Diceros bicornis minor: one gene and its partners. The protein of the gene in region 4 binds, or shares a complex with, the protein of the main gene of each other region. Links are inferred from orthologs where the notes say so. Each region holds a gene or a part of one and is shown on either strand. Other genes may lie near its edges.

What was found.
Region 1: CNOT10 (region 4) and CNOT2 share a complex: the UniProt entries of both Homo sapiens proteins name them as parts of the CCR4-NOT complex. The link is inferred for Diceros bicornis minor from reciprocal best matches to the Homo sapiens genes CNOT10 and CNOT2.
Region 2: CNOT10 (region 4) and CNOT8 share a complex: the UniProt entries of both Homo sapiens proteins name them as parts of the CCR4-NOT complex. The link is inferred for Diceros bicornis minor from reciprocal best matches to the Homo sapiens genes CNOT10 and CNOT8.
Region 3: CNOT10 (region 4) and CNOT11 share a complex: the UniProt entries of both Homo sapiens proteins name them as parts of the CCR4-NOT complex. The link is inferred for Diceros bicornis minor from reciprocal best matches to the Homo sapiens genes CNOT10 and CNOT11.

What each region holds. Positions count from the first base shown.
Region 1 is NC_080756.1:1,258,934-1,266,337, forward strand, and holds the start of CNOT2 (CCR4-NOT transcription complex subunit 2), read right to left. Parts: upstream 3,022-7,404; 5' UTR 2,973-3,021; coding exon 2,968-2,972; intron 1-2,967. UniProt on the Homo sapiens protein: Component of the CCR4-NOT complex which is one of the major cellular mRNA deadenylases and is linked to various cellular processes including bulk mRNA degradation, miRNA-mediated repression, translational repression during translational initiation and general transcription regulation.
Region 2 is NC_080740.1:71,228,252-71,235,730, reverse strand, and holds the start of CNOT8 (CCR4-NOT transcription complex subunit 8), read right to left. Parts: upstream 3,015-7,479; 5' UTR 2,909-3,014; intron 1-2,908. UniProt on the Homo sapiens protein: Has 3'-5' poly(A) exoribonuclease activity for synthetic poly(A) RNA substrate. Its function seems to be partially redundant with that of CNOT7.
Region 3 is NC_080779.1:12,246,036-12,253,423, forward strand, and holds the start of CNOT11 (CCR4-NOT transcription complex subunit 11), read right to left. Parts: upstream 3,002-7,388; 5' UTR 2,877-3,001; coding exon 2,354-2,876; intron 1-2,353. UniProt on the Homo sapiens protein: Component of the CCR4-NOT complex which is one of the major cellular mRNA deadenylases and is linked to various cellular processes including bulk mRNA degradation, miRNA-mediated repression, translational repression during translational initiation and general transcription regulation.
Region 4 is NC_080741.1:36,557,965-36,565,027, forward strand, and holds the start of CNOT10 (CCR4-NOT transcription complex subunit 10), read left to right. Parts: upstream 1-4,053; 5' UTR 4,054-4,068; coding exon 4,069-4,270; intron 4,271-7,063. UniProt on the Homo sapiens protein: Component of the CCR4-NOT complex which is one of the major cellular mRNA deadenylases and is linked to various cellular processes including bulk mRNA degradation, miRNA-mediated repression, translational repression during translational initiation and general transcription regulation.

The DNA of each region.
Region 1 (7,404 bases), on a different chromosome or scaffold from region 4:
ACCCAACGAACAAAACCAAGGTAAAAATTAAAAAATAATTATAAAACCTTAAAACCCTAATGTCCATCCTATTTCTTTTCAAAGGCAGACTTTCTACAACAGACATCAATTGTAGTACAGCTCTTTTCAAAGCATCTATTAAAGTCACAATGAAATTCAATTCCTTTAACTATCACAGGTAGAAATCATCCTTAGTAAGCAAGGATCATCACCAGAACGACTACTATCTTCGCACCAGATCCCTTGGTATCAATATTGTATGTAATCCTATTCAAACACTGAAGTGGAACTCAGATGAACTTGGCCTCTAAAACTGCCCTACCTGCTGCTTTGGTTTCTTTTGCTTCTTTGTGTTATAAAAGCCACTAGAGGTCTAGGTAACAAACAAAATCTTATTTAGTAGTATCTTTTCCTACAAGACTGTATCACTATTTGCATAAGTTGTCCTCAAATGCCTATTCAAGCAAGCACATGGGAAGTTTGCTTTTAAATATGTACTCATAACAGAGTGAACTTTTTACAGTTAAAAATTTTGACAATCAAAAAAATACTATTTAACACTGCTTTTAAAGAGCAAAAAATAAATTATTTTTACTAGTCTATTAATGTCTACTCATTATTTCATATATAGACGTGAAGCATAACTTTTCTATATTTTTCTGTATCATCAGAAAACCTTATGAAGCAAATCTGTCACCAAAAAGTTTGGTGAAACTGTTAACTTCCCACGGGCTGTGAAAAATTCTGTACGAGTCTTTCAAAACTCAAGTACTTTTAATACCAATACCTACTGAAGAGATAAAAACCAAAACACTTCTAATTAGCAACACTTCTAATAAAATCTATTCATAAATCTCAACTATTTTATTTACTTGTGAACAAAGAGAATTTTCAGGTTATAACTGTAAAATATCTCTGAAAAATCAAGAAGTAAATTAAACTTCCAAAGTTACTAAGTAAAAACATAGGTAATTAGTTCTCTTGGGGAGAAATATCATTCTGAGTTTTATTTTATCTTCAAGATCAAGTACTTCTCAAACGACCGAGAACATAAATCACTCATGCATTTTGCCCTCGTTTTTCCACCATATAAATTTACTTTAAAACGAAAGTATTATAGAAACTGAAAATTTTTAAAAGGCTGTATTTGTTGCTTGGTTAAAGATACAGGCAATTCTCATTCCTCAAGAGTACCAGATTAGGTTACAGATACCTCTATACAGCATACTTAGAACAAAAGAGTTCTGCCAACAAATGATGCTTACATTAATTTATTTTTATTGATGCAGTAATAATTAGGATGCAAAAAGTGTGTAAGTTTCTCAACGGCTGTCTAAAATACAAAGTATTCACAGAAGTCACTGCAATTCAAGCCCTCAGGAAAAAAGAGAGAGAAACGTACCTTTTTAAAATTAAACAAGGATCTTAAAAAGTCAAGAAAGAAGTGGAGCAAGAGTTATCTTTTCTACGTGTTTTTTGTATTTTTCTTTTAGATTTAATATTACAAAAGAAGTACAAACTAAAGAGGAGTTCAACACGAAAAACCTACCAAAGCTCTTACTTCATTAAGAAATATTTCAATGACAAGAATCAGAATGTAAACATTTAACATTTCAGTCCACTGTGATTCTTCATCAATCCTTCAAATCTAGGATAAAGGTATCTTCCAAAACTGCAAGAGATGTGGGCATTGACGTTTGGGAAACAACTGTTTTCAAATATACCCAATATTCCCAAACAACCCAACGTGAACTTAGCATGTAAATAGATACTTTTCAAATTTGTATCCCCCCATACTTGATCATTTACACTTAGCTTCTTTCAAAAGGCAAATCAAAAGTTGCATTTACGATTCTAGAAGTCTAGAAATTCCTGATATCCAGCATGACAAAAAATGTGTCCAACTTTGAACACTAAATTCAAGCATGGCCTCCTTCTGAACAGATTTTGTTAACGCAGTACTTTCTATCATTTCGCCAAGAATCTAAGGGTTGACATCAGGGTACTGAATTACTAGAAACCGTCCAGAAGATTAAGAAAGGAGTAGGATTCTTCGACCACTTTTACGAAAACGAAACAAAATGTGCTGCATTCGGCCTTCTGGATGTTGAAAAGTGAAGGTGTCCCCTAGAATTCGAAGGAAGTTGATGTTGAGGTTCCTTCCGAGAGGGTGGTACCCGTATGTAAGACCTGGGTGGTGGTAACACCGTCCCCACAGGGCCTGGAATAAATGCAAACTCTTGGAAAAGCTTTTACGAAAGGAAACTCGAACTCGCCTTCGCAAGGCCCAGCCACCCGGAGTGAGCGCGAGGCTCTCCCTCCGAGACCGACCGCAGAGCCTCGGCCGACTCGGGCGGGCCTCTGCGAGCCCCACTCGCTTCTTCCGCGAAACTTTGAGCGAGACCCGAGACGCGAAGGTGGAGCAGCCGCGGCGGAAGTGGAGCCCGGCGGGCGCTCCGGCCGCGGCGCCAGGACCGGGCCGGCCACCGCGCACGGGAGCTCCCGGGCCCGCCCGCACCCGCACCCCCGCACCCCCCTCCCTCACACACACACACACACACACACACACACACACACACACACACACACACACACACACACACAAGTTGCCGGGCCGGAGCGCGAGCCGCGGGCTCGGGAGGCGGCAGCCCGGCCGGCCGGCTCGCGGCAGGCTCCTCCGCCCGGGAAGCGGCGCCGCCGAGGCCGCCGACCCCGAAGCCGCGCCCGGCCCGCGCCGCCCGCCCTCCCCGCACCCGCCCGCCGCCGCCACCCCCTCCCCGCCGCCGCTCGCCCTCTCGACTGGAGCCAGACAAAAGCAACGGGAAGCGGCGGGCCGGGGCGCTGCACGCGGGCACCCGGCGCGCCCGCACCGGCCCCGGGGCCTTCCCCCGCCTTGCGGGGCCCCGAATCCGCCGCCCCCGCCGCGCGCCCCGCTGCCAGACTTCCGAAAATTTGCCAAAAACTCACCGCATGAATTTTCTTGTCCCGCGGATCCAAGATGGCGACGTATCCACCGCGGAGGCTGCTGGGAGCAGGACCTTTACCCTCTGACCCCCACCGTGACCCCCGCCGTCCGGCTTCGCTTTCGGCGGCGGCGGAAGGTGGGAGCGGCGGGCCGGCTGGGCCGGGCCGGGCCGGGCCGGGGCCGGGGGTGGGCGGCCTCTCTCCCACGCGTCCTCGTCGTGTCCCCGCCGGCTCCGGGAGGCTTGCGGCTCCTCCGCGGCCGTCACGGCGAGCGGACCACGGGTTCCGGGCGGGCCCGGGGCGGGGAGTGCGGGACTCGTCCCCGCGGCCGCCGTCCTCCCCCGGCCCGGCCCGGCCCCTGCGCCCCCCGTGCACCTGCGGGCGGTGTGGCCCGGTCAGCGGCGCGCTCCTCCCCCTCCCCCCGCCCGGCGCCTGCGCCCCCCGTGCACCTGCGGGCGGTGGGGCCCGGTCAGCGGCGCGCTCCCGCCGCGGTGCCGCCGGGCCTGGGGGAGCGGAGGCCGACCTCTGCCCCCGGACGAGCACCTGCCGCTCAGGGGAGGTGGGCTCGCTCTCCGTGGAGTAACGGCTCTTCCTTCCTCTGAGCGTCGGTGAGCCTCCCGGGGTGCTGCCCGGCGGTCTGGGACGCGGAGCCTCCGCGTGTGCGCTTGGGATTGTGCTGTTCCATCAAGTGAACATTGTTACTCCTTTCTGTTTGAGTGATAGAATTTGTTAATGTAAAGTACAGTTCGTGTGGAGTAAATAAAACTTCTGCTAAAAACTCACTGTAATCCAATTTAAAATTTATCATGGAAAGGCAGACGGCCTCCGTCACTCATAAATAGCAGGAAAAATAAGGATACTATAAAATAAAAGGTGACTTTGTCATGTTTACGGGAGGCAAGCTATTTTGAGATGTTAGTAGATGTGTGAATTTATTTAAACTCCAAATGGTGCTGATGTAGCCAGTAGAAAATGTTTTGCCTGGTTATTCATTTCGTTAAACATTGTGCCTCACTGTCTTTTTTACTTCAGGAAACTTCAAGGAGGATCAACACTTCCTTATGTCCTTCCCTCCCTTTTCCTCCCCGCCCCCCACAGTCCTTTCCTGCTCTGAGCTTTCTCTTCCCTGTTAAGATGTGTGTTAAAAGGCTGACGCTGCCTCTAAGTATGTGTAATACGTATAGGTGTATGAATACATGCACATGTGTCTATGTACTACTGAGCGTGTATATCTAGCGATTAGTAATTTGAAAGTATAACTCGATATTTGGAATCATAAGATGGAATGATAAAAACGGGATATGCTTATAAGCATATAGTAGCATCAAGTATTACCATTCTAATCTGTTAGTTTGACTCCTGTATAGGACTTTGTTAAGACCAAAAGCTGGACCTTATTCTTACCATCACTATATTTACTCAAAAAAGCACAAGTTTTAAATAGCATGAACATTGGTGAAATTGGAGAAATCACTTCCAAAGGGTCTAATTTGAGGGCTTTGTTACCTTGATATTTTATTGCAAGAGACAGAACAACAAACATTTTCACCACAAATGTGTAGGGTAGGAGTGTTAGGAAGAAGAATGCACTGAGACTACTGCTTTTTTGAAGACACTGCTTGTTTAGGATAAATTTACTTTAGACCTTGTTAAAGAACAAGTTTTAAATTGTCTTGTTACTGGTGCCCAATCTATATAAATTTGTTTAATACCTGCCTTAGAGGTGGGTTCTAGGTATTAAATGAGCTAACATTTGTTAAGGGCTTATATTTATGACTTTCTATTAAGCACTCTAAATGCTGTATTTTTTAAATTGCCCTATTGCATCAAAAAGTTCATCTTTATTGCCAGTATTGATCAAATTTGCCCATTTGGTAGATAGTTCATGGTGTTTTGTTTTGTTTTTCACCTATTCACTTTGATAGATTTTCTAACTTTTACTTGTAAAACAGTCCATACCTGAGTAGATGTTGTGTGTTTTTGAAGTGTGTGTAAGGTAAATTCCTTGTATACCTAATAGGACGAATGAGTTTGTTGACTCATAACTAGCTGTAGGAAAGGGAGGCCTCCTGTTTGTCAAAGTGTGTAGACAATACTAAAAATCTTATCATGGCAAGGGATACAAAGGACAGGCATCTCTAATTTAATGTGCTGAAACAACGTTTGAATCCAAACATCTCCCACGGTCTTCCTGATTTCCATAAACAGTACCACCAACAGTCCATTCACTTGCTCAGGCAGAAAACTAGGAATCTTCTGTGATTCCTCACACCCTGGGTCCAACTCATCAGCCAGTACCCTCAGGTCTTCCTTATGTACATTCTTTTTTTTTTATTAATTTTATTTATTTTTCCCCCAAAGCCTCAGTAGATAGTTGTATGTCATAGCTGCACATCCTTCTAGTTGCTCTATGTGGGACGAGGCCTCAGCATGGCCGGAGAAGCAGTGCGCCGCACGACTGGGATCTGAACCCGGACCGCCAGTAGCGGAGCGCACACACTTAACCGCTAAGCCACGGGGCCGGCCCAACAAAATACTTTTTAACTCTGCTTTCTCAACTACATCAACTTGGTTGAATGTTTAAATACATGGTTAAGCTGTTTCCTTAATAAAAACATTAATTATTCTAGCCTATGTATGAATTATAAGATATCTTTCACTTAAAAAGTAAGATTATGGGCCGGCCCAGTGGTGTAGTGGTTAAGTGCACGCGCTCCGCTTCAGTGGCCTGGGGTTTACAGGTTCGCATCCCAGGCGCGGACCGATGCACTGCTTGTCAAGCCATGCTGTGGCAGCATCCCATATAAAATAGAGGAAGATGGGCATGGATGTTAGCCCAGGGCCAATCTTCCTCAGCAAAAAGAGTAGGATTGGCATTGGACATTAGCTCAGGCCTGATCTTCCTCACAAAAAAAAAAAAAAAAGTAAAATTACTCCCCCAAAAGTTACCAGATTCAATCAGTACATAATAGTAAATCAATTTAAAACTCACATATAATCAGCAAATACATTTTTGCTGGCAGTGAAAAATTAACTGAAATCTGTTTTAAAGGGAAAAATGAATTAAATACTGAATTGATAACAGGAATGAAAATAATTTATAAATACACATGATAGGTCAATGAAAGAATTATCTGTGTTTCTTAAGCAGTAATGGCATTAGCCATTCAAATGCTTAGTGTTAGCCTGCTTTTTAACTGAAGAACTTAAAGTGAAAATACATTCAGTACAGAAGAAAGTGAAGATTATGAAGTATACAGATTGCAAGGAAACCATGGGTCTGGAAGAAACAATCTAAAAACCATACTGCAAACTGATTCCATCCTATTCAATAATTCTTGCTCTCACTGTTTTTATGTTTAACTTAAAATTTTTACATTCCTTTTTTGTTTTAACATTTTATTTTTATTTATTCCTTGAAACTGCCCACATTGCAAATTGTTCATGGATGAAGTACAGAGCTGTGCAGGTTTTTTTCTACAAAATTATAGTATAAACTTAATCAGTTTTCTATCTGATTGCTAATAAACCTTACAGCACACAGTTTGTAAAATACACCCCTTAAGGACTGAATGTGTAGAGTATGCTCAAGGTACAAAAAATAAGCTAAACATAAGCATATGAATGGCAAACATCATAACACAAGAAAAAGAATTTTAAAGAGATACAGTTCAGTCCTGAAAGGGTTAAATAGAAACCTTAATATTATTGTTTCTAACCATCCATCTCATGGTGCTTGAAAATAGTCAAAAGTCTGGCACAAAAAAATTACACACATTTGTTCATTATACATCAGAAACATAGCAGCTTTTGAAATCAAAAATAAGTAACTTGGGCCGGCCCAGTGGCTTAGCGGTTAAGTGCGCACCATCCGCTACTGGCGGCCCCGGTTCGGATCCCGGGCGTGCACAGAAGCACTGCTTCTCCGGCCATGCTGAGGCCGCGTCACACATACAGCAACTAGAAGGATATGCAACTATGACATGCAACTATCTACTGGGGCTTTGGGGACCAAAAAAGGAGGAGGATTGACAATAGATGTTAGCTCAAAGCCAGCCTTCCTTAGCAAAAAGAGGAGGATTAGCATCAATGTTAGCTCAGGGCTGATCTTCCTCACAAAAAAAAATAATAAATAAATAAAAAGCGAGTAACTTGATTAATAATTAAAAAGCATTTTGTTTCAAAAAGAAACCGTCTGTCAATTATCTGGTTAAACACGAATAGTTAATTTAGTTCTCAAAAACTGCATTGGAAATTTTCTGTGAGGATACGTGATATCAGTTCCATTTAAACAAAACAGTAATGATCACAAATAAGTCTATGCAGTAGGGTGATAAATATTTCACTAATTAATACGTATACCAGGATACCTTAAGTTGCCAAAGTTTAAGAAAAGTCAGCAACAGGTTAAATATACTAGTGTTCAACTCTAACATCTCC
Region 2 (7,479 bases), on a different chromosome or scaffold from region 4:
AAAAAAACTATGACTTTTTTTTTTTTTTTTTTTTTTTGCTGAGGAAGATTTGCCCTGAGCTAACATCTGTTGCCAACCCTCCTCTGTTTTTGCTTGAGGAAGACTGTCCCTGAGCTAACATCCATGCCAATCTTCCTCTATTTTGTATGTGGGTTGTCACCACAGCATGGCTGATGAGTGGTGTAGGTCCACATCCAGGATCCAAACCTGCAAACCCAGGCCGCCAAAGCAGAGCGTGCTGAACCCAATCGCTATGCCATAGGACCAGCCCCACTATGACTTTTGAGACAAGCAGAAGTCTGAACAACGAATGGCTGGTTTTGGGTTTTTGTCGGGGTTTTTTTTGTCTTTTCTGCTTTTTTTTGGTGTTATAATATATTGCAATTATGATTTTTAAAAGAGAGTCCCTGAGCCAGCCCTGATGGCCTAGCAGTTAAAGTTCAGCGTGCTCCGCTTCCGTGGCCTGGGTTCGGTTCCCAGGAGCAGAACCACACCACTTGTCTGTCAGTAGCCATGTTGTGGCGGCAGCTCACATAGAACCAGAAGAACTTACAACTATACACAACTATGTACTGGGGTTTTGCAGGGGAGAAAAGGAAGAAAAAAAGGAGGAAGACTGGCAACAGACGTTAGCTTAGGGTGAATCTTCCCCTGCAAAAAAATTAATTAATTAAAGAAAAGAGAGTCCTTATGTTTTAGAGATAATGCAAAATACTTATAGGTGATATGATATGAAATGTGGGGTTTTGCTTCAAAATAACAGTAGACAAAACTCCTCACAACTTTGTACAGTGTTATCTTCCTCCACATTTTACTGAAACTGAAATTCAGAGACATTAATTTAAAAAGGCAATATCATGACTTTCATTTCCAAGAGAATTTTTTTTAAAAAGCCAACCACTGTTACAAAGCTAACGATTGTTATACATATCTGACAAATGGGGAATGCAAAAGCAGACCACTGGCAAAAATATATGACATTCTTGCACCAAATCCTTATCTAGGAAAATCGTGAGGAAATAAACAATAGCTTGCAAGCCCCTAAATGTAGTGCCACTCAGGAACTAAAGAGGACACACCTTATGTACATTTAACTTAGCATAAATTACTGGATATGCTAGCCAAAAAAGAGAGAGAAGTAATAATAATAATGCTGGCAATTCTGCCTGCCGCTTTCCACTCAGTGAGCACATACTCCAGAGCGAGCCTAAGATGGGAACCAAAAACATACTGTTCCCCTTGGTTCCTCTTCCTCCTCTGAAGCCTCTCAGTGCCAGCATCTCATAGTGCACTTCATTGTGTGGCATGACTCTACCCCATTCAAATATGTTTATTTCTTCAACACAGCCCCTAAAAGTAACCGAATTACCCTATCTGAGTTACAACCAAAGAAACAGTGCGAAGTTTCAAAGCTCAAGGAAAAACTGACTATGCTGGATTTACTGAGAAACAGAATGGCCTTCTCCAACTTTGCACCTTCCTAAGGAATTTTTAAGGATAATTTTGATCGCATGCAATGTTTGCCTCACAGGTTGACTTTAAAACTTGACTCCACATGAGCTACCCCACGCTATAAAAACTTGACTCGCATATAAGCTACTCTACTCCATATGAAAGCACAACACAAGCCATAAACGATACTTGTAGTTTCCCAGTAGTACGAGACTGTGCAAGAAGCTGTCTCTCTTGTATGTGTATGAGAATACACATACACACACACAGTAGTACGAGACTGTGCAAGAAGGAAAGCTCTCTCTCTCGCTCTCATTCTCATACACATATACACACACACACCCCTACGAATTACGGAGGTCCCTGGCAATCTGTTCAGAACGCTCCTGATGACCTAGAAACTTTTCCAAAACAAAGCTCCTTATTTACCCTGAAGAGCAACTAGTGATAAAGCCACTCGAAAGTGTTCTCTGCAAGCAATCCAGGGTGCCTGGCCTGACTTGGGGAAAGAATGTGTTGTTTTTCTGGTTCTGTTTTGTGTAAGCCTAAGTATGCAAGGGCACAATAAACATCACTTCCCCATTCTAGAGGACTGAACAAAGGCTTTGCTGCGAGGGGATAAGATGAAAAAGTAAGCAGCAGCGCGTCAGAAGAAACGGCAGCTGCTTGAAAGAGGGTCCCCTCGCTACACGGCAGGCGGGCCCCGGCCGCCGTCCTCCCCTCCCTCCAAAACACAGCGTCCGAAGACACTACCCCGGACTGAACCACAGTCCAACCAGTTCTTAGAACCACCCACGTGGCCCAGCCTTGTGAGCTGGCTCCTAAAGAGCAACGGTGCTGTTTATAAACCCACAAAACAGCAAGGAAAAGTTGTGGGGCCTCAAGAACCAAGGAGGGGGAGGCCCGCGAGGTTCCAAATTCAGGTCCTCGCTCTCCCTCACGGTCTCCCGCCATCCTTCTGTTCCCGTTCTGGATCACGCTCCCACTTCAAACCACACTCGTTCCTCCCCTCCTCCTAACCACCCTTCTTTCGTTCTTTTTTCCTTTTTTGTAAAGCAAAGATATTAAAATATCACGCATTAGGGCCCGACAGACGTAAATTCGAAGCCAGGCCACCGATTAGCTGTGAGGCTTTGCCTAAGTTACTTAACCTCTCTCGTACCTCAGTTTTCCTATCTTGTAAAATGAGTTTCACAGTATACACCTCGGAGGATCGCAGTCGAGGTTGAACAGAAGGCTGCATATAAGGTGCTTTGTAAAGTCCTGGCACATATCACTAGAATATTATTATCGTGTGGTGGTGGTCGTTATTACTACTACTATTCGATGGACCTCTTTCCCTTCCCACACACCCTGCCCCTCCCGCACGCTCCCACCCCCCTTCCTCCCGCAGGCCCCGATGGCCTCCCACACTCTCATCTCACGCTCCTCTCTTTGGTAAGCGCGGCCCGCTTACCCTGACCGGCAGGGCCCGCGAACCGCGGGCTGACGGGCGACTCCCGAGCAGCTGCAGCAACAGCCCCTAATCCAGCGCTCCCCTCCTGCCCCGGATCTGCTCCTAGCACCGAGCGGGCCAACGAGATGGGCGCCCTGGTGCCCTGAGCGGCCTTACGCACAGCCCACCAAACAATCTGGCCCGCACCTCTCTATCCACCCAAGCCTCCCGACTCGCCTGCTCCCTTCGCAACACTCCAGACGCGCGCGCGCCTGAGCATGCCCGCTCCTCCCCTTCTGCGCGCCCCGGCGATTCCGTACGTGTTCGACCAGCCCTTGAGCTCGCGGGAGCAATTGCGCAGGCGCAAAACCAAGCGGGCGCCGCGAAAACGACGGGGCGGGGCAGCCTCGGAGGACGCCTGAGGAACACAGCCCTCCCTAGGCTTCCGCGCGGTTAGTTGCGCTGGCTCAATTCAGTCAAGATCGCTACCCCTCCATGTCGGTCCTCCTTCCGCGCGCCAGGGAAGGGGCGTAGTCTAGAACTAGGCTCCCCTCGGGTGGGCGTGGCCTAGGCACACGAAAGGCCGAGGAAAGGGCGTGGCCCGTCTGACCGAATCTCCCAAATTACAACGCTGCCTCCTCCCTACTTTGAAGGACCGTTAAAATCCTTGGCAGGAGCGGACTTAGGGGGAGAGCCTGACCCCTTCCTTCTATACTACTGCGGCCCCTGGGCCCCTCATTTACAAAACATCTACCTCACGGCTTCCTTTCTGGCAAATAATTAGTTGGGAGTGGGGCAGCACCCCAAACCGAGTCTGAGCAACGTCCGCCAAGGCCCGCCTCCCTCCTCCCCGCCTCCCAGAGCCGGGCGAGCAGCGTTACCATAGCAGCCGGCCTGCCTGGGCCCGCTAGAGTTACACGGAAGGCGCGGTCTCACCGGGGGGCAGCGCCCGGCCAGCGCAGGCGGAGCCAGGCCTGGCGGCCTCTAAGCAAGGTCGCAGGTTTTCGTTGCGAGGGTACTGGGGCCCAGGCCTAGCCTAGGAGGTCCCCGAGGCCCCCACCCGCCCCTTAATTCTCTGTGAATCTGTTTGGAAAGAGGGTTCTTTGCCAGCGCCTGTTCTTGGCGGCGTTAGACCAGGCTCGGATGCAACGCTGCCTCGTGTTCCCCAGAGTGGGAGAGAAGACAAAGCACTGGCTTCCTCGCACAGCTGTCAATTCCGGGCCGCCCTCAGTCACTCTCGGAAGGGCTCCACCCCGTCCCCGAGAGAAGGAGCAGACGGCCCAAAGCTGGGCTCTGGTCATAGCCCTAGATGCTTTCACTTGAAGGGGGCTGTTGGTAAGTGTATAGCAAATTTACCCCCAAGTCACTAGGCTTTCCTCCTTTTAAACATTTCCCCCTAGGGGATTCTCCAAAATCCTACTTTCATTTCCGAGGCTGGATGCAGAGCATGCCTTCAGCGGCGATTTCAAACCGGACTCCCTTTAAAGCTATGCTCCAGGGAGGTGAACTCCCACTCCCAGCCCCCAGGGGTGAACCTCACTCTTCTCCCCTCCAAGTGAGTGTCTGTCTCCTTATCCGTAACATGGGGAGATGAATAACAAAGCGGCTGTGTTAATAAATGGAAAAAACACCCGACACTGAGGAAGATATGTAAGTGTATTCGATAAATAATTGTTTCTGGCCTGTCTCAGTTTGTTATCCCTGAGATACTCAATGTTTGTTCACTCTGCTGCACATTTAATCATTCTGGTAAGCAATGTTGTGATGGAGAAGGCAGGCGAGACACTACCCCCCCACCCCACCCCCCATCCTGTGGGTTTCTGATATCCTTTCACCCACTTGTAATTAGATTCAGGACAGGATAGCCCTATCACTCACATAAAGAGCAGCCTCCACAATCCTTTCTTGGAATTTTTTCTTTTTCCTGTAGCACTGGGCCTGGTGTGCACTGAAACAAACAGGAGACACACCATCTCCACCCCTGCAAACCCCACCCGTCCCAGAACTCGGTGTTCATTTCTCAGGTTATTGAAGATAAATGTAAAACAAACACACAGATGGCTTGTATTTCAGGAGGCTTGGAGTGCTTGTTTTAAACAACAGATTTTATGCTGCAGTTATGCTATTGCCAAGTTAGAACAGTTGTGTAAATCACTGATTCTTAGTGGGAAGGAGGCCCCAAACGAATGGAAGGGTAGTTGGAGAAGAATATATTCAATAATATAACTTCACATTTGGGGAAAAAAAAAAAACTATTGTTTTTGAACTACAAACTGTAGAAAGTAAGGCTTGAACATATCTTCTCAACTGGGAGGGTATAGGCTACAAAAAATTGAGAAACACTGATTGTAAAATGGGTCTCCTTAGGAACCAGATGGGGTGATATCCTTGGCCAGCCAAGACTTTCTGTTATTCCCAATTCTAAATAAATCTCACAGGATGCATTTCTTGAAGTATAAGATGTGTAGGAAGATAAAATCTAAAATATATATTTGAGTTTCGAATATTTTGAAAATGGAGAAGAAAGTAAATGCCTCCAGGCATATAGTACCACTAAAAATCACCCTCTGAGCCTGTCTCAAAAACCTTCATATTCCTTAGTGCGCTGACACACCTAGCTGCCTGTCACCTGATTAATTCCATTGTTAAAGTGCCCTCTCCAAGCTTAGCCCAGGTCTGTCATTTTGTATAATGTTGTCTTTTACCAGACTATGTATTTATCTTTAAGTTCAGCTGAAGAATGCATGCAGCTGGCTTTTTTCTTTGGTATAGTTGCAGTAACTTCCTGCCTTTGAAGTGTGTTGTTCCTGCTTTTCCTACATAGTAGAAAAACTTTCTTCTGACTCTTGAAAATTATCAACAGATCATCAAACTTCCCCTAAATATAAATCAGAGATCATGTTTCATGACTAAGCATTTGAGTATTATTTTGATCTTTTGATTGCAACCTGAAAAATCTTCTGATTTCTGGAAAGATGAGAGATCAGAGTTCATTTTTTAGAATACAGAAATAGATATCAAATCTATTGTACTCTTATCTCGTTTGATTTTCCTTCTCCCTTAGAATCTATGAAAGTAACAACATTTCCAAATCTACTGATAATAATCATAGACCTTTAAATTTCCAAAGCTGAGAGTCAGTAAGGATGTTCTAACTAATACATTCCCCTAATTTCACAGAAAGTAACTAAATAATTTAAGGTCACCCAGCTCCTAGAGATAGGATCAGGATTTGAGTCTTCTGATGCCCAGTCCAGTATGGGATTAGGTGGTCATCCAGTCAGTTTTATTTGTGGTCCATTTGCTATGGGCGGGACCCCATGTTGACAGTGGGGGATGCACTGATGAATGAAACAGAATGAAACAGATGTGGTTCCTGGCCCGGTGGAACTTAACATTTGGTGGCAGAGACTGACAATAAAACAAGCGAATAAACATTCAGGTAAGAAATAAAAGGATAATGAGAAATTTTGATAGCTTTCATGAAGGAAGCTAATGGGGTAAAGTGACAGAGAGCAACTGGATTGGGGGAAGATAGGGGAAATTACTTAGAGGTCAAAGAAGGCCTCTCTAAAATGGTGGCACTTAGGCAAAGATGAGAAGGACAAGAAGGACCGACCGAAGAGAGAGAGAGAGCCATGAGAAGTTGAGAGCAGCAAATTTCAGACAGAGGTTAAGAAATGAGTTTTGCATGTTAGAGGTGGTAAAAGGAAGTCGAGGCGGCTGCGGAGACCAAGAGGCTGAAGAGGAAAGCAGAGGCCTGGTGAGCCAAGGTCTGGGAGGCTTTAAAACTGTTCAGAGTGCATCAGGAAACCAGAAGGATTTTACTCACAGGAATGATCTGATCCCGTTTATGTTTTTAAAGATTACTTTGACTTTTATGGGCAACAAATGGGGTAAAGGCAGAGACATTTTAATTTTCTTATTTGAATTACACTAAATTTGGTAAGAAAAGAAAGCTAGCTTCTCCCAGGCATGGTAAATATGTTGCCTATGGAAATATCAGGTGACAATTTAGGTAATTTTACTAGGTGATTCCGATTGATAATTAGTTGCCAATGCATCCTTTCGATTGTTGTTATTGTGAAACCCTTCAAGGCTGCTGGGTATTCAGTACTTTACAAAGAAGAAAGTTGATCTCTGCCAATACAGAGCTAGGCAAATGGAAATATAAGCCAACGGAAAGAGAACAGGTAAGCACACTAATGTAGATAAGAGTAAAACTTGCCCTTTGGGACACTCTAGTCTGTTCTAAAGCTCTCTTCTCTCGCTCTTTCTACGTCTCCCTGTACTTGCATGTGACAAACCCATCATCTCTGGTGTCACAGCCAGATCTCAAAATCCTCTTTGATTTTTTTTATATGACCAGCATTGAGAATCTTCTTTTGAACTTCTATAACATTCTGTAATGTTCTAGGAGCAATGGGGCCCAAAGCCTTCGGAATATCTCTTACATTTCTAACCAGATGTGGGTTTGGGGTATGGGATAAAGAATGTATTCCAGAAAATTGGTAAACACAATTATAAATCTCACCTCCAGATTATCAGACATTAGAAGTGGGAGGGGCCTCAGAGATCCACTAATCCAACCA
Region 3 (7,388 bases), on a different chromosome or scaffold from region 4:
AACTACAGGACAGCCTTCCTGATTTCCCCAGCTCCCAGTTTTGACTCCGGCCTAGTTTTGACCCACAGTCCAGACTCCCACTTACTATTTAATCATATTTCTAGGTACAAATCTGCTCATGTTACTTAACCTGTTAACACAGAATTAAACCCAAACTTCTGCACCATTATAAGGCTCTTCATAATCTGGTTCTGACCCACTGTCCTAATCCCATCTCTTGAACTCCCCTCCAATCCATGTATCCTACACTCCAGTTGCACAAAATCTCTCAGCTTCTCTGATTCCTGATTTCTAAACATCCAATACACCCAGTTCTTTAAGAATAAAGGAAATAGGGGCCAGCCCGGTGGCGCAGTGGTTAAGTTTGCGCGTTCTGCTTCGGCAGCCCAGGGTTCAACGGTTCGGATCCTGGATGCGGACCTACTCGCCGCTCATCATGCCATGCTGAGGCAGCGTCCCACATAGAAGGACCTACAACTAAGATATACAACTATATACTGGGGGGCTTTGGGGAGAAAAAAAGAAAAAAAAAACAGAATAAAAGAAATAAAGGGCCACATCCTTCCCAAACCACCCCCCATCTCTAATCAACATCCACCAAAAACATCACTCCCTCTGAGAATCTCGCAAGCTATGCAGGTAGACGTTCCTCTGTGCTCCCAAGCATTCTGAGACACCTACTACATACAGCCCTTACCACACTGCATCCTATGTTTACGCCTCCCCAACCAGAACACAAGCTTCTTGAGAGCTGAGAAGCCATCTTATTTATTTCCAGATACATTCTCAACTCTGGCTCTGCGTTAGAATCATCTGAAAAACTTATTAAAAATATACCCATTATATGCTCACCCTACACGTACAGTATCATAAGCCTTGGCATTGATACTCCCTTGGCTGTGTATTTCAGCACTGTCCCTACCTTTAATAAAAGTAATGATAATAATGGGTAACATTCATCATAGATACTTTTATTCCTCATAATAACTCTACCAGCTAAGAATTATCATCTGCATTTTACAGATGAAGAAACTGAGACACAGGTAAAATAACCAATCCATGGATTCCTTCTCTGGCAAATTTGTGTTTACAATGCAGTCTATGGACTACATCTGGGTATAGACTCCTTGCATTTGAAAGCGACATTATATGTCCTTTTCCTAACCTGTCCTTCAGAATTCAAAGGGTCCTCTGACCTAAATCCCACACTGTCCCCATCCTCTGGTAAGGGCACCCCAGGGTGGTAGGTTTTGACCACTCATACACATGCTGCATTCCCTTTCTGGGCATTCTCAAACTTCCTGAAAGCCAGGTTCAGTACTTGTACCCTAAGGGCATCTCATCCAACACAAAGGTTGCCCCTTTGATAAGAGCAATGCAGAAAACCAAAGAGAAAACGCTTTAGATCCAGAGGGGATGCCAGGCAGAACACCAGCCGGCTTATAATGTAGAAGCCCTCCTGCGCTGCGAAAAACTCCGCTATTAACTCAAAATCCGCTACCTTAACCTTTGACTCCTTGTATAGCAGCCCCTACCCATAGAGTGACCTGCCCTTTTACCCACTGGTTAAGTACTGTAAGATCAAGCTGTTTCCCACCTCCGCCTGCTTCCTCTACAACACTGGTCCTTGTCTAAGTCTTCTAGGTACATTTATCCCTCATCACCATCGCCTCTGTGCCTTTCTCCCCTCCTGGCTGCAAGTCTTCTCCTCAAGTCACGTCTCACATAGTATCTCTTGCTTGAGTTCAAAAGAAAAAGAAAGGGAGCCTCGGACGGAACCCACTGATCAGATCTTACCAGTGCTGTATTTGACATAACGTCCAGTAGTCATGCGTTTTCTAATCTAAGCGGTGAACGAGACTACCTTCTATCCTCTGCCCCCATCACATTATCCAAGTATACCTAGCAGCCCAACAAAGGTGGCTGCAAAGTCCTTAACCGCTATTTAATGTGTATTTCCGTCCAACAACTTCTTCGGGTTCTGAATAACGACTTCTATTTACTCCTCTGAGACTGAAAAGCAGGGGCAGATCCACTGTGTCATCAGCTACAATTTTACACACCTCAGACGGGCTTTACAAGCAAGAGCTGTATTTGAAGCACTAAAAATGTCAAGCCCCACACTGAGCTACATGATTTCACGGTCTGTACCGTTGCGAGGAATAATTTTCGGTGCCATGAATTGATCGTTAAGCTCCCATTTCTCCACACTTGGTAGTGTCGAGGGGGCGGATTTCAAAAGGAGATAATTTCACTTGCGGGTGCATTCCCAAAAGCGCAGGTGGAAAACTGGTGACTCCAAGTCTCCCCACCGCGCACCGGGCGGGGGCAGGGCGGCGCGCCCCCGGCGTACCTGAGAGCGGGGGCCGGTCGGGCTCCTGGCCGCCGCGGGCGGGCGGGGCGGGGTTGAGCAGGTGCGCGAAGCTGGCGGCGAAGGGGTTGGCGGCGAGCGGCTCGGTGCGGTACATCTCCCAGAGCAGGTAGAGCGCGGTGAGGCGCTGCGCCGCGCTGGGCAGCAGGTCCGGCTGCTGCAGCAGCATGACGAGCACCGAGCCCAGGCGGAAGTGGTCAGCCTTGCTGAAGTAGTGGTGGAAGGCGGTGGACAGGCCCTCGAAGGTGCTGCCGCCGCCCGCCTCCTCCGAGATGATGCTCAGCAGGCTCGAGAGCTCCTTCGGGGTCAGGCTCATCCTGCCCGCCGGGCCCCCGGGGCCGCCACTCCCCGGCCCGGGCCCGCCTGCTCCGCCTCTGCCGCCGCCGCCCGAGCCGGAGCCCCCCGGGCCGCTCCTGGACGTCGACCCCGCCGCTTCCCGGGCCCCCCTTTGCTCCCCGGCGGTGAGAAGCCGGCCAAACGCCGCGCTCACACCGCCGCCGGGCATCAAACTCCTTCCCGTCCTGCTTCCCGGCCGAAGTGGCCCTGCCGCCGGCTCGCGCCGTCCCCGCGGCCGTAAAGCGCGCTGTGACACGACAGCGTCGCAAACAAAACACGCCGGGAAGCCAGACGGCCGCGGAAGAGAGGGACGGCGCGGAGCGAGGCCAGGGAGAGGATCGGCGGCGCTGGGTGGGCGGGGCGAAGCGGCCGGAAGTGGAGGCGGGGCCTGCAGGAGGGGCGGGAGCCGCCGGCAGGGGTTTGGGCGCGCGCGGAGGAAGACCCGCGTGGCAGCCGGGCGCGGGGGGTGCGTCTGCGCCTGTGCGAGGGAAAGAGGACGGCTCGTGAGCCCCCGGGGCACTGCCTGGTACCAAACGGTCCCAAATGCGGGCTTCATTGTTGTCGGGAGAAATGCACCTTAGATTCTAATAGCTCCCTTAATGTACCGCACATGACTATTTATGGTAAAAAATTTTTAAATGCAAATAACTGAAGACACCATCCTTTCTCATAACCCAAGTTAATTCCCAGTCTTACAATCGTTTTTGCGGAAATGGAGTCATATTGTACGAGAGCTTTTGTACACGGTTATTTTTAAGGAGATTTCGGGGAAATTTTTCCAATAAATATTCACTTATAAAACTGTTGTGCGACTTTTGACTTAGCCTGCCCTGGGGCGCTGATCCTGGGTGTCGGCGGCGCGTGGGCACCCTCCGGGGAGCCTTTAAAAATGCTGGTGCCGGGCCCCTGCCCCGGAGATGATGGCTCAGGTATTAGGAAACAAAAAACAGAAACCCTTTCCCAGGTGACTCTAATGTGCTCTCGGGGCTGAGAACGGCCGAGTGACGTCTCCCACACCTGCCCAGCTCCTAGCTAGACCTCCAGAAACGTGCCCACAGGGCAGGCCTGGGAATTCCGCCCTGCGCTCAACAATGGTGGCAGTTCAAGAATTATCTAGTTAAGCGCCACCTTAATTCTAAAGTAAAAGTGAAGGAAGAGAAATTGCCAATTAGCTTGAAAGTACTCTCATTTTATTGTTTACTATAGTAAAAAAACTGTCTTGTGTTTGAACTGTTAAAGTACAAAAATTCAATCTAGTAAATTTACAGATCTAATTGGCTTTATCCAGTGAGTCATGAATCAGGCAGCATCCCATCTAGCAAGTAGAAAGGAGCTCCAAGGACTTGGACAACAATGGAAGGTTTTTGTGTGTGCATGAGAAAGATCAGCCCTGAGCTAACATCCATGCCAATCCTCCTCTGTTTTTGCTGAGGAGGACTGGCCCGGAGCTAGCATCGGTGCCCATCTTCCTCCACTTTATGTGGGACGCTGCCACAGCATGGCCCAACAAGCGATGTATTGGTGTGCTCCTGGGATCCAAACCGGGGCCACCAGCAGCGGAGCGAGAGCACTTAACAGCTGCATCACTAGGCTGGTCCCTGGAAGGTTTTTATAGGCAGAATGAGGGTGAGACCAAGAGTAGATCATTTCAGGCAAGGTTACTGACAAGAGATTTTCGCATATTGAGGTATATGGGGTAAGTATTCAGGTTTAAAACTGGTTTGGCTTGAACTAAAGAAGCCTGACTTCTGGCCTATCAAACATGCATTGTAGATCTGCTTAACCATTAGGGAATGCACTCTCTTTTCGCCCTGAGCTAACATCCGTTGCCAATCCTCTTTTTTTTTTTTTGCTTGAGAAAGATTAGCCCTGAGCTAACATCTGTGCCAGTCTTCCTCTATTTTGTGTGTGGGTCACCACCACAGCATGGCTGATGAGTGGTGTAGGTCCATGTCCGTGATCCAAACCCAAGAAACTGGGCCCCTGAAGCGGAGCGAACCGAACTTAACTACTAGGCCACGGGGCAGCCCCAAGAATGCATTCTCTTAAGATAAGAATGCATACTACTCCTCCTACGCTGTGTGGGTAACAGCTGTATTAGACTATTTCCCAACATCAGAGTCATGTTGACCTGCTAATTTGCAACTAAATACATCTTTGAAACTTTGGTGAATATGTATCTTGGGTGTGTTTAATGTATGTGCTTTGTTCTCAAAAGGTATAAGACTGGACTGAAAACCATGCTTCTCTGGAACATTTTCTTCCTTTTTGGAAACTGCCTTCCCAGATTATAATCCTCACCCTGCCTCAAGTAAAACTCACCCTGTCTCTCTTATCTATAGAATGGTTATTGGTTATTTTGCCTGAACATCACCTTCCCTTAGAGGAAGGCAAGAGGCCTTATCAGGCAGATTACCTCACTAGTGTTGATCAGGAAATTCCAGACCAGTTGGTTTAAATTTCCATTCCTGGGAGAGGCTGAAACTGTATTTAGGTTAGGTATTAAGTCTTGGTGGTACTTAACACAAGTGCCTCTATTTTGGGCCTGTTATTTCTTTTCAACAGAGCCATTTTACATTGTGAGGTCTGTTTGTTACAGCAATTAGCCTACATGAATAGGTTTTACTTTTTTTCAAGATGTTTCAAAATATTTGAACATTATATTTACCCCTCCCCCCAAAAAAGAACTAAATACTTTTCTTCCTATAGGAGCATTTTCAAAATTAAGATGATATCTGGGGGCTGGCCTGGTGAGGTAGCTGTTAAGTTCATGAGCTCTGCTTCGGTGGCCCAGGGGTTGAGAGTTTGGATCCTGGGCACGGACCTACTTACCGCTCGTCAAGCCATGCTGAGGCAGCGTTCCACATAGAGCAACTAGAAGGATGTACAACTATGACATACAACTATCTGCTGGGGCTTTGGGGAGAAAAAAGGGGGAAAAAAGGAGGCAGATTGGCAACAGATGTTAGCCTAGGGCCAATCTTCCTCAAAAAAAACAAAAAAAGATTTCCAGACTTCCTACATGTTCCCTGAAAACAACTCTCAGGCCTTGCATTAGTTTCCTGGTAACAAGTAACTGTTACCAAACCAAGGTCATTTTTGCCTGTCACCCAGAAAACCAATTGCCGAGACAACGAGATTACAGCAGAGAGAGAGTTTTAATCACAAGGCAGCCAAGTGAGGAGGTGGGAGAACAAGTCTTAAATCTGCTGCCCTGAAAACGGAGATTCAGGGATATTTATGGGGGCAAGTTGGTCTGAAAAGTGGAGATACATGGTTGGAGGTGAGGAGAGGCGAGGTAATTGATGATCTGCACAAGTGTAGTCAAACTTCAGGCTTCTTCATAGGATACATGTTCACATAATGGTGGCATTAGCATGATCCGAGGGTGGAATTTTTAGCTTGTTGACATCAAAAGGTCACTTATCAGACGTCTGCTCAGGCCCAGTTGGTGGGTTGGTGGTCTCAACCGGCTTGAAGTGGACAAGGGGTTCTAATTCCTGAAAAACAGCTCAAACATCCATTACCATGGTGACCCAGGTGCTAGAGAGATGTTATCTATAGGAACCTAATGGGAGTCAGATAGCGTATTGCCTAAACAGCAGTTAACAATGGACCGGTGAACAACTAAAAGCTATAATCAGTAATTACAAAACAAAACTTTAGTTACTAGCTACCTAATCATCAATGGCTAACTGTTTACTGGTTTCATAACCACAAACTAGGTGGCTTAACACAACAGAAATTTGTTATCTCACAGTTCTGGAGGCTAAAAGTCAGAAATGAAGGTGTCAGCAGAGCCATGTTCCCTCTAAAGACTCCAGGGAAGAATCCTGCCTTGTATCCTCCCAGCTTCTGATGGTTGCCAGCAGTCTCTGGCATCCCTTGGCTTATGTAGCTGCACCATTCCGATCTCTGCCTCTGCAGTTACATGGCCTTCTTCCTGGTAGAGCTGGGTACCTGAGGGTTACTGTAGATATTCAATAAGAACATGATTGCTTTTTCACCTTGTTCCCAACACAGACATAGATGAATCTTGTCAATTTGCAGTTTTCTTGTTTAACTTGAGGGGTGACTTGGGTGGAGAGGATTTGAGAGCTTGTTTTGCAGAAGAAAGAGAACGCCTCCTGGGAAGTTGTGATCACCAGATGGCCAGCCCCCAGCAGCCCTTGCAGATTGCCCAGGGGCTTATCAGGAGTGACCCCTTTGTTTCTCTGAAGCTCCCCCTGTCAAGCCCTTTAGCTCTATAAAACCCCCCTGCTTTTTGCTCTGGTGAAGGCAGATTTGAGACAGCCCGTGCTCCCACCTTCTCGTCTTGGCCAACTTGAACAGAGCCTTTCTCTGTCTCCAAGCACCAATGTCTCGGTGTTTGGCTTTCTGTGCCTTGGGCACACAAACTTGAGATTAAGAGGTTCAGTATCACCTGTGTGTCTGTGTTTCACGTGGCCTTCTTATAAGGATACTAGTCCTTGGATTTAGGGCCCACCTACTCCAGTATGACCTCATCTTAATAATTACATCTGCAAAGACTGCCTCACTAAATAAGGTCACATTCTGAGGTTCCAGCTATACATGAGTTTTGGGGAGGCATGATTCAATCCAATAGAGGCCCTAAGCTATCCTGAGCATATGTCTTGGTAGTTCTCCTTCACAACCCCCTCATCTCTGCCTTTTGACTCTC
Region 4 (7,063 bases):
TAGTGGGAAGCCACAGAGGTTTCAACAAGGGCATGATGTGATCTGATTTATGTTTTAACTGAGCTAGATGAGAATTGATGAAGAGTTAGGAGCATGAGGTTTGAAATCAGACAGCTGGGTTCATCCTAGCTGTACCACTTGATATTGGTGTGACCTTGGGCAAGTTTTAAGAACACTTAAGCCTCAGCTTTCCTGTGTGTAGAATGAGAATGATAATAGTATCTACCTCACAGGGTTGGTAAAGAGTTAAATGAGATCATCTCAGGCCCTGATTTTTGAAATGCTGGCTAGTATTACTTTAGAGTAGTGGTAGAATGGAGAGGAGAGGCAGATGTGAGAAATGTTTAGGGTGTAAAATTGGCAGAATTTGTGACTGCTTAGGTATAGTAAGTGAGCAGAAAGCCTTGCTCTTTGGGAAAAGTTCTTAATTGAGCCTCAGTTTCTTCATTTGTAAAGTGGGGATTCTACTGGTTTTTTATTTATTTCTAATAGCTTTCTAATTTATTTACCTCACAGGGCTGTAGCTTGTGAGCATCAGCTGAGGTAATGTGTACCTTTTAGCTCATATCCTTGTGGAAGCAGAACCCGATTAAGTGGCTGACTTTTTATTTGGGAGCTGCAAGCCCAGGGTAGTGAAAATGAGGGAGAGAAGGAAGGTAAGGCAAAGGAAGATGCAGTACATTACATCCCTGGCAACTGTTTCACCTTGAGCTAAGAGACATAGCAGGTCACTTGCGTATGGGACTTTTCTGAAAGGGTTTCGAGGCAAAACTACACTTCAGAGTAGTCCATATGAGAAAGAAAGAAGGGATTATTTATCTGTCCAGCTTCCTCTCATTTCCTGTTTCCAGACCGTCAAGGCTTCACCCCATGGGGAACTAATTTACCTGTGCTTCTGAGTTGTGTGGCTTCTCAGTGACTGATCAGCCAGCAGTTCTCACACCCTGAGTTGTATTTCAAGCAACCCATAAAGGGAGGGATGTCCCAGGGTGGATGGAACACCACCCAAAGACAGAAATTGAAGGGGCAGTGGAAGGTTCACAAGGTTCATGTCCTTGTATAAAATATAAAAGTCGTGTGAAACCAGTATCATTTTTGACTAAGGAAGTACCAACAATGTTTTAGGATGATTTGTTTGACTTTACTTTTTATGGTTATTTGAAAGGAGAAAGTGGCTGGAGTTAGGACACAAAATCCTAGATTTGAATTTATCTGAGAATTTGGACTATGAGCATGGCCGTAGTAGGCTTAATAGGAAAAGGTTGATAACATTATGAATAAGGGAAAGATAGGACCTGATGAGTAATATGAAATCAGGGGAGGGTTACTTAAAGATGGCTTTGGGGGCCAGCCCCGTGGCTTAGTGATTAAGTGCGCGGGCTCCGCTACTGGTGGCCTGGGTTCGGAACCCCGGGCGCGCACCAACCACCGCTTGTCCGGCCATGCTGAGGCTGCATCCCACATACAGCAACTAGAAGGATGTGCAACTATGACATACAACTATCTACTGGGGTTTTGGGGAAAAACAAAAAGGAGGAGGATTGGCAATAGATGTTAGCTCAGAGCTGGTCTTCCTCAGCAAAGAGAGGAGGATTAGCATGGATGTTAGCTCAGGGCTGATCTTCCTCACAAAAAAAAAAAAAAAAGATGGCTTTGAAATTTTGAGCCAGGATGACCATAAAAATGGTAGGAAGTACAAATGAGAAAGTTTTAAGCCAAGGCTATTTTTATTTTATTTAAAACACCCAAAACTGATTATTATTATTAAGTGTATACGGTAAAAAGTATTAAGTCCTCTATCACCCCTACCCAGTCTCACTCTCTAGGTAACCAGTACTGAATTGTGTGTTCTTCTAGACTTCTTCTAGGCCTACCCAAGCTCACATTGACTTAAAAATGTATATGTGCAGATGAGGAAATAAACTATGCAATACTGTCCTGCCATCCACTTTTCTCAGGGTCTGGTTAGGAATCTATGCATATTTGATATTTTTTCAACTTTTTATTGCAAATGATTTCAGACATCCAAAAAATTGAAAAAATAAAAGGAATATCCATATACCCACCACCTAGATCAACAGTTGTTACATTTTGTCATATTTACTTCCTCTGTCTCTAGCTACAGCTTTTCTAAATAAATTATAGACATCATGACACTTTATCTCTAAATATTTCACCATGCATTTCTTAAAAATTAGGACATTCACCTATAACCACAATACCATTATTGTACTTCAGAAGATTAATATTTTTATACTATATTGAATATCTCCAGTTGTCCCAAAAATGTTATTTAAAGCTGTAAGGAAGCTGTGCTTTTCAAACTGAGATCCAGTCAAGGTTCATACATTGTATTTTGTTATGTTTCTTGAGTCTCTTAATTCCCAGTGTCACCTGGTTTTTTTTTGAAGAGACTAAGTCACTTCTCTTGTAGAATATCCCACTGGATTCATCTGATTATTTCTTCCTTGTATCCTTTAATTAGTTCCTTATTTCCTGTATTTTCTGTGAACTGAAAGTTGTTTCTAAGGGCCTGATTAGATTTAACATATTTGCAAGATACTTTGTAGCTGTTGCTGTATACTTTATATAAAAAGTGCATAATGTCAGTTTGTCCACTATTAGTGATGCTAAATTTGATCAGTTTGTTAAGGTGGTGAGAGGAACATCTTTTTCCATTTGCAATTAGAAGTAATCTGTGGGGTAATTGGCATTATGTAAGCATTCCAACATTGATGATCATTGCCTTAATCAGTTATGTCTTTGAGAGTTGCAGAATGGTACTTCTCTTAGTTCTATTACTGTCTACGTTTATTAGCTAGTTTCTGTAAAGAATAGCTGTCCCTTATCAACTGGGAATGAACTGTGATTCTTCCCAGAAAGGCGTGTTAAAACTTAATTCATCCTTTTCATTTACTAGTTTTCACAATAAAAAGTTGATGTAATAGTGACCCACATTTGATATTTTAAGTGTTTTTAATGTTTAAGAATTGAGAGTAATTTATTGGTCTTTTGATTCTAATTTGAAATGTATAATTGAGTGAATAATTGATTTATACTTGTGAACTTAAGTTAAAAGCTTGCTATATTGATATCATTGCATAGACATTAAAGAGTTCCTGAGTCACTATTTTCATCAGTTTAATTTTTTAGATTTATAAATTACTTAAGTTCTCAGAAAATTTTGTCTTTTTAGATCAAACAGTTGTACTTAAAATTAAATATATTATTTAAAGCAGTTAAAATTATATGTTTGAAGGTGTTTAACTTTGTAAATGAGATCAAACATTCATTGCAGCCCTTTAAAATTAAAACTCCAAATAGAATAAGATGTCTAAGTTGAATGTAAAAGTTTGAGGAAAATCTAGGCTTTTTGAATTTGTAACAATAAATCAAGTATTAATATTTGAAAACTAGAGTAAATCTCTTTTCTATGCATAAAAACTACTCTCAGATATGAAAATAAAAATACTCATGGGCAGTGGTAGTGTCCTGCTTTGCCTGTCTTCCCCAAAGCATGCTGATATTCTTGATTTTTGATATTCTTTTCCTTTATTTTTGTAGTGCTGGACAGGGTGCTCAAGTCTGTAGCATTGCTGGTCACGTGTTATTTCTCTGAGCTGTGTAGAAATTAGCCATTTTATGTAGGGTTTTGATCAAGTCAAATAAACTTGTTCAGTGGTAGAAAACCATGTGGGTGAAGCTTAGGTGTGTGAACCTTAGCTATATGGTGACTTTGGTGCTTTATTTTTCTTGGAAATGGCGTCCTTCTTTTTTTAAACTTTCCTTCATAAAGACATTAGTACTGTTTTGTGAGTGTGGCAGATCTCCTTAGGCCTTAACATTCCTTTTTTCTTTGGAAAAAACTTCTTTTCTTGAACGTCGTTGGAGCTATATTTTGACAAGCGTAGCTTATATGGAAGACCTTCCTCCAATCAGATTTGCATTGTTAACATTCTATATTGGAATGTGTCTGTGCTTTCGGTTAACTGACGTTTTTCAGTTTTGAAAAAGCAGTGTGTTTCTTTTCTACTTAGTTCAAACCTAAAGGCAGTTGTTTGGTTCGAAATGAAGCCTTTTAGCTTAAAGAGTGTCAAGGTTTGTGCACCAAAGAGCTCTGTACGCCTAGAAGGTCAGTCATGTTCATTAGGCCAGAGCAGAAGGAAAGTCAAGCTTATGGATGAATGCTCACATACTCTTTCAATTGGCAATGGAGACTACTTTTGGACAAATAAAGACACGTTGTGGGATTATGTGCAGACTCTTTCTGGTAAGAAGTCAGCAGTTACTAAAAATGTATGTTTTTAAAACATTTTAAAAACTGATTACAAAAATAATACCCATTCTTTGCAGAAAACTTGAGAAGTGTAGACAGATAAAGAAAATAAAAATAGTAATCCCATTGGAGTTTTTTTTTTTTTAAAGCTTCTCTTGATGTAAAAGAACATAGGTAAAATAATGGTTGGTTAACATGTAAAAGGCTGTTTATTGAGCTCAGTTCTCTGAAATGTCTATAGAAAAGGGAACTTCAGAGTCTCTTGTCAGCCTTAGAGTCTAGCTTGCTTATTTATTTATTTATTTATTTATTTATTTATTTATTTATATTTGTCTTGGCTTCTCTCCTTTCCTGGAAGATTGTAGGAGACTTTTACTGTTCCTAGAGGATAACAATGGAAAGGAGAAGCTTAAACTCTTTAATGCCTTGCTGAATTGTTGGGTGTTTCCCTCTACCTTGTATTTAAATCACTGTTTGACAGTTGGGCCCAGAAGTCCCATTAAAGAATGTCATCTAATCTAGAGAGGGTATATTTTAAAAAAAGCTATGGAGATATCTTGATGGCAAACTAACAATTTTTGGTATTTGGTTTAAGTTTAGTGTACTTCCTTATGAGGGAAGATAAATTTTGTAAACACTTTAGGTTTCCTAAAATTTTTTTTTTTTTGGTGAGGAAGATTCACTCTGAGCTAACATCTGTTGCCAGTCTTCCGCTTTTTGCTTGACAAAGATTAGCCCTGAGCTAACATCTCTGCCAGTCTTCCTCTACTTTGTATGTGGATCACTGCCACAGCATGGCTGATGAATGGTGTAGGTCTGCACCTGAGATCCAAAGCCACGAACCCGGGCCGCCGAAGCAGAATGCACCAGACTTAACCAATATGCCAAGGCCCAGTCTCTGCTAAAATTTTTAAAGTATTATGTTCATTGTTAAAATTTTATGATGAATAATATACATGGAATTGAGAGTTCTGCTTCAGTATAAACCCATACTTTGCTTTCTGGGGTCCTGAAATCTGGTGTCCTGTTTTTACACATTTTAAAGTAACTGGTCATACCTAATACATAGACACAAGCACAGGGAAAGAGGCAAAATGAGGAGGCAAAGGTATACATTCCAAGTAAGGGAACAGGACAAAACCTCAGAAAAGGAACTAAGTGAAACAGAAATGAGCAACCTACCTGACAGAGAGTTCAAACAAAGAGTGTTAAGGATGCTCACTGATCTGGGGAGAAGAACAGATGAACTCAGTGAGAATGTCAACAAAGAAATGGAAGATATAAAAAAGAACCAATCAGAAATGAAGAATACAATACTGGAAATGAAAAATTCACTAGAGGGACTCAAAAGCAGAGTAGAGGATACAGAAGAACGGATCTGTGAGCTGGACGAAAGACTAGAAGAAATTACCCAAGCTGAACAGGTAAAAGAGAAAAGAATTAAAAAGAGTGAGGACAGTCTAAGGGACCTATGGGACAACATCAAGCGCACTAACATCCGTGTTATAGGTGTCCCGGAAGGAGAAGAGCGAGACAAAGGGGCAGAGAATCTATTTCAAGAAATAATAGATGAGAACTTCCCTAACCTAAGGAAGGAAACAGACATCCAGGTACAGGAAGCACAGAGAGCCCCAATCAAGATAAACCCAAAGAGGCCCACACCAAGGCACATCATAATCAAAATGTCCAGAATTAAAGAGAGAATCCTAAAAGCCGCAAGAGAAAGACAAGTTACATACAAAGGAAACCCCATAAGGCTATCAGCTGACTTCTCGACAGAAAGCCTACAGGCTAGAAGAGAGTGGCACGATATATTTAAAGTGCTAAAAGGAAAAAACTTACAGCCAAGAATACTCTACCCAGCAAGGTTATCATTCAAAATGGAAGGAGAGATCAAAAATTTCCCAGACAAGCAAAAATTAAAGGAGTTTGTCACCAAGAAACCAGTGCTACAAGAAATGTTAAAGGGACTGATTTAAGGGGAAAAGAAAAGACCACAAATAGGAAAAATTCTCTATTTCCATGATAAGAGGGTAATGGATACAAATGCACAAAAAAGAGGTTTTTTGATATCAAAAACATAAAATGAGGGAGGAAGGGAGTTAAAGAGTGGAGCTTTCAGACAGAGGTCAAACTAAAGAGACCATCAATTCTGTATGGAAGGAGCAAGGAACAGAGAAAGACTACTAAAACACTGAGAAAAAAAAAGTTAAAAAATGGCAGTAAGTACATACTTATCAATAGCCACTTTAAACGTCTATGGACTAAATGCTCCAATTAAAAGGCACAGGGTGGCTGATTGGATAAAACAACAAGACCCATATATATGCTGCATACAAGAGGCACACTTCAGACCTAAAGACACTCACAAACTGAAAGTGAAGGGATGGAAAAAGATACTCCATGCAAATGGCAATGAAAAGAAAGCTGGGGTAGCAGTACTCATATCAGACAAAATAGACTTTAAAACAAAAACTTTAATAAGAGGCAAGGGCATTACATAATGATCAAGGGAACAATCCAACAAGAGGATATAACACTCGTAAATATCTACGCATCCAATGTAGGTGCCCCTAAATATATAAAGCAATTATTAACAGACGTAAAAAGAGAAATAGACAGTAACACGATAATAGTAGGGGACTTGAACACTCCACTTACACCAACAGATAGATCACCAAACAGAAGATCAATAAGGAAACATTGGCCTTAAATGACACACTAGAACAGATGGACCTAGTAGATATATACAGAGCATTCCATCCAAAAACCGAAGAATACACGTTC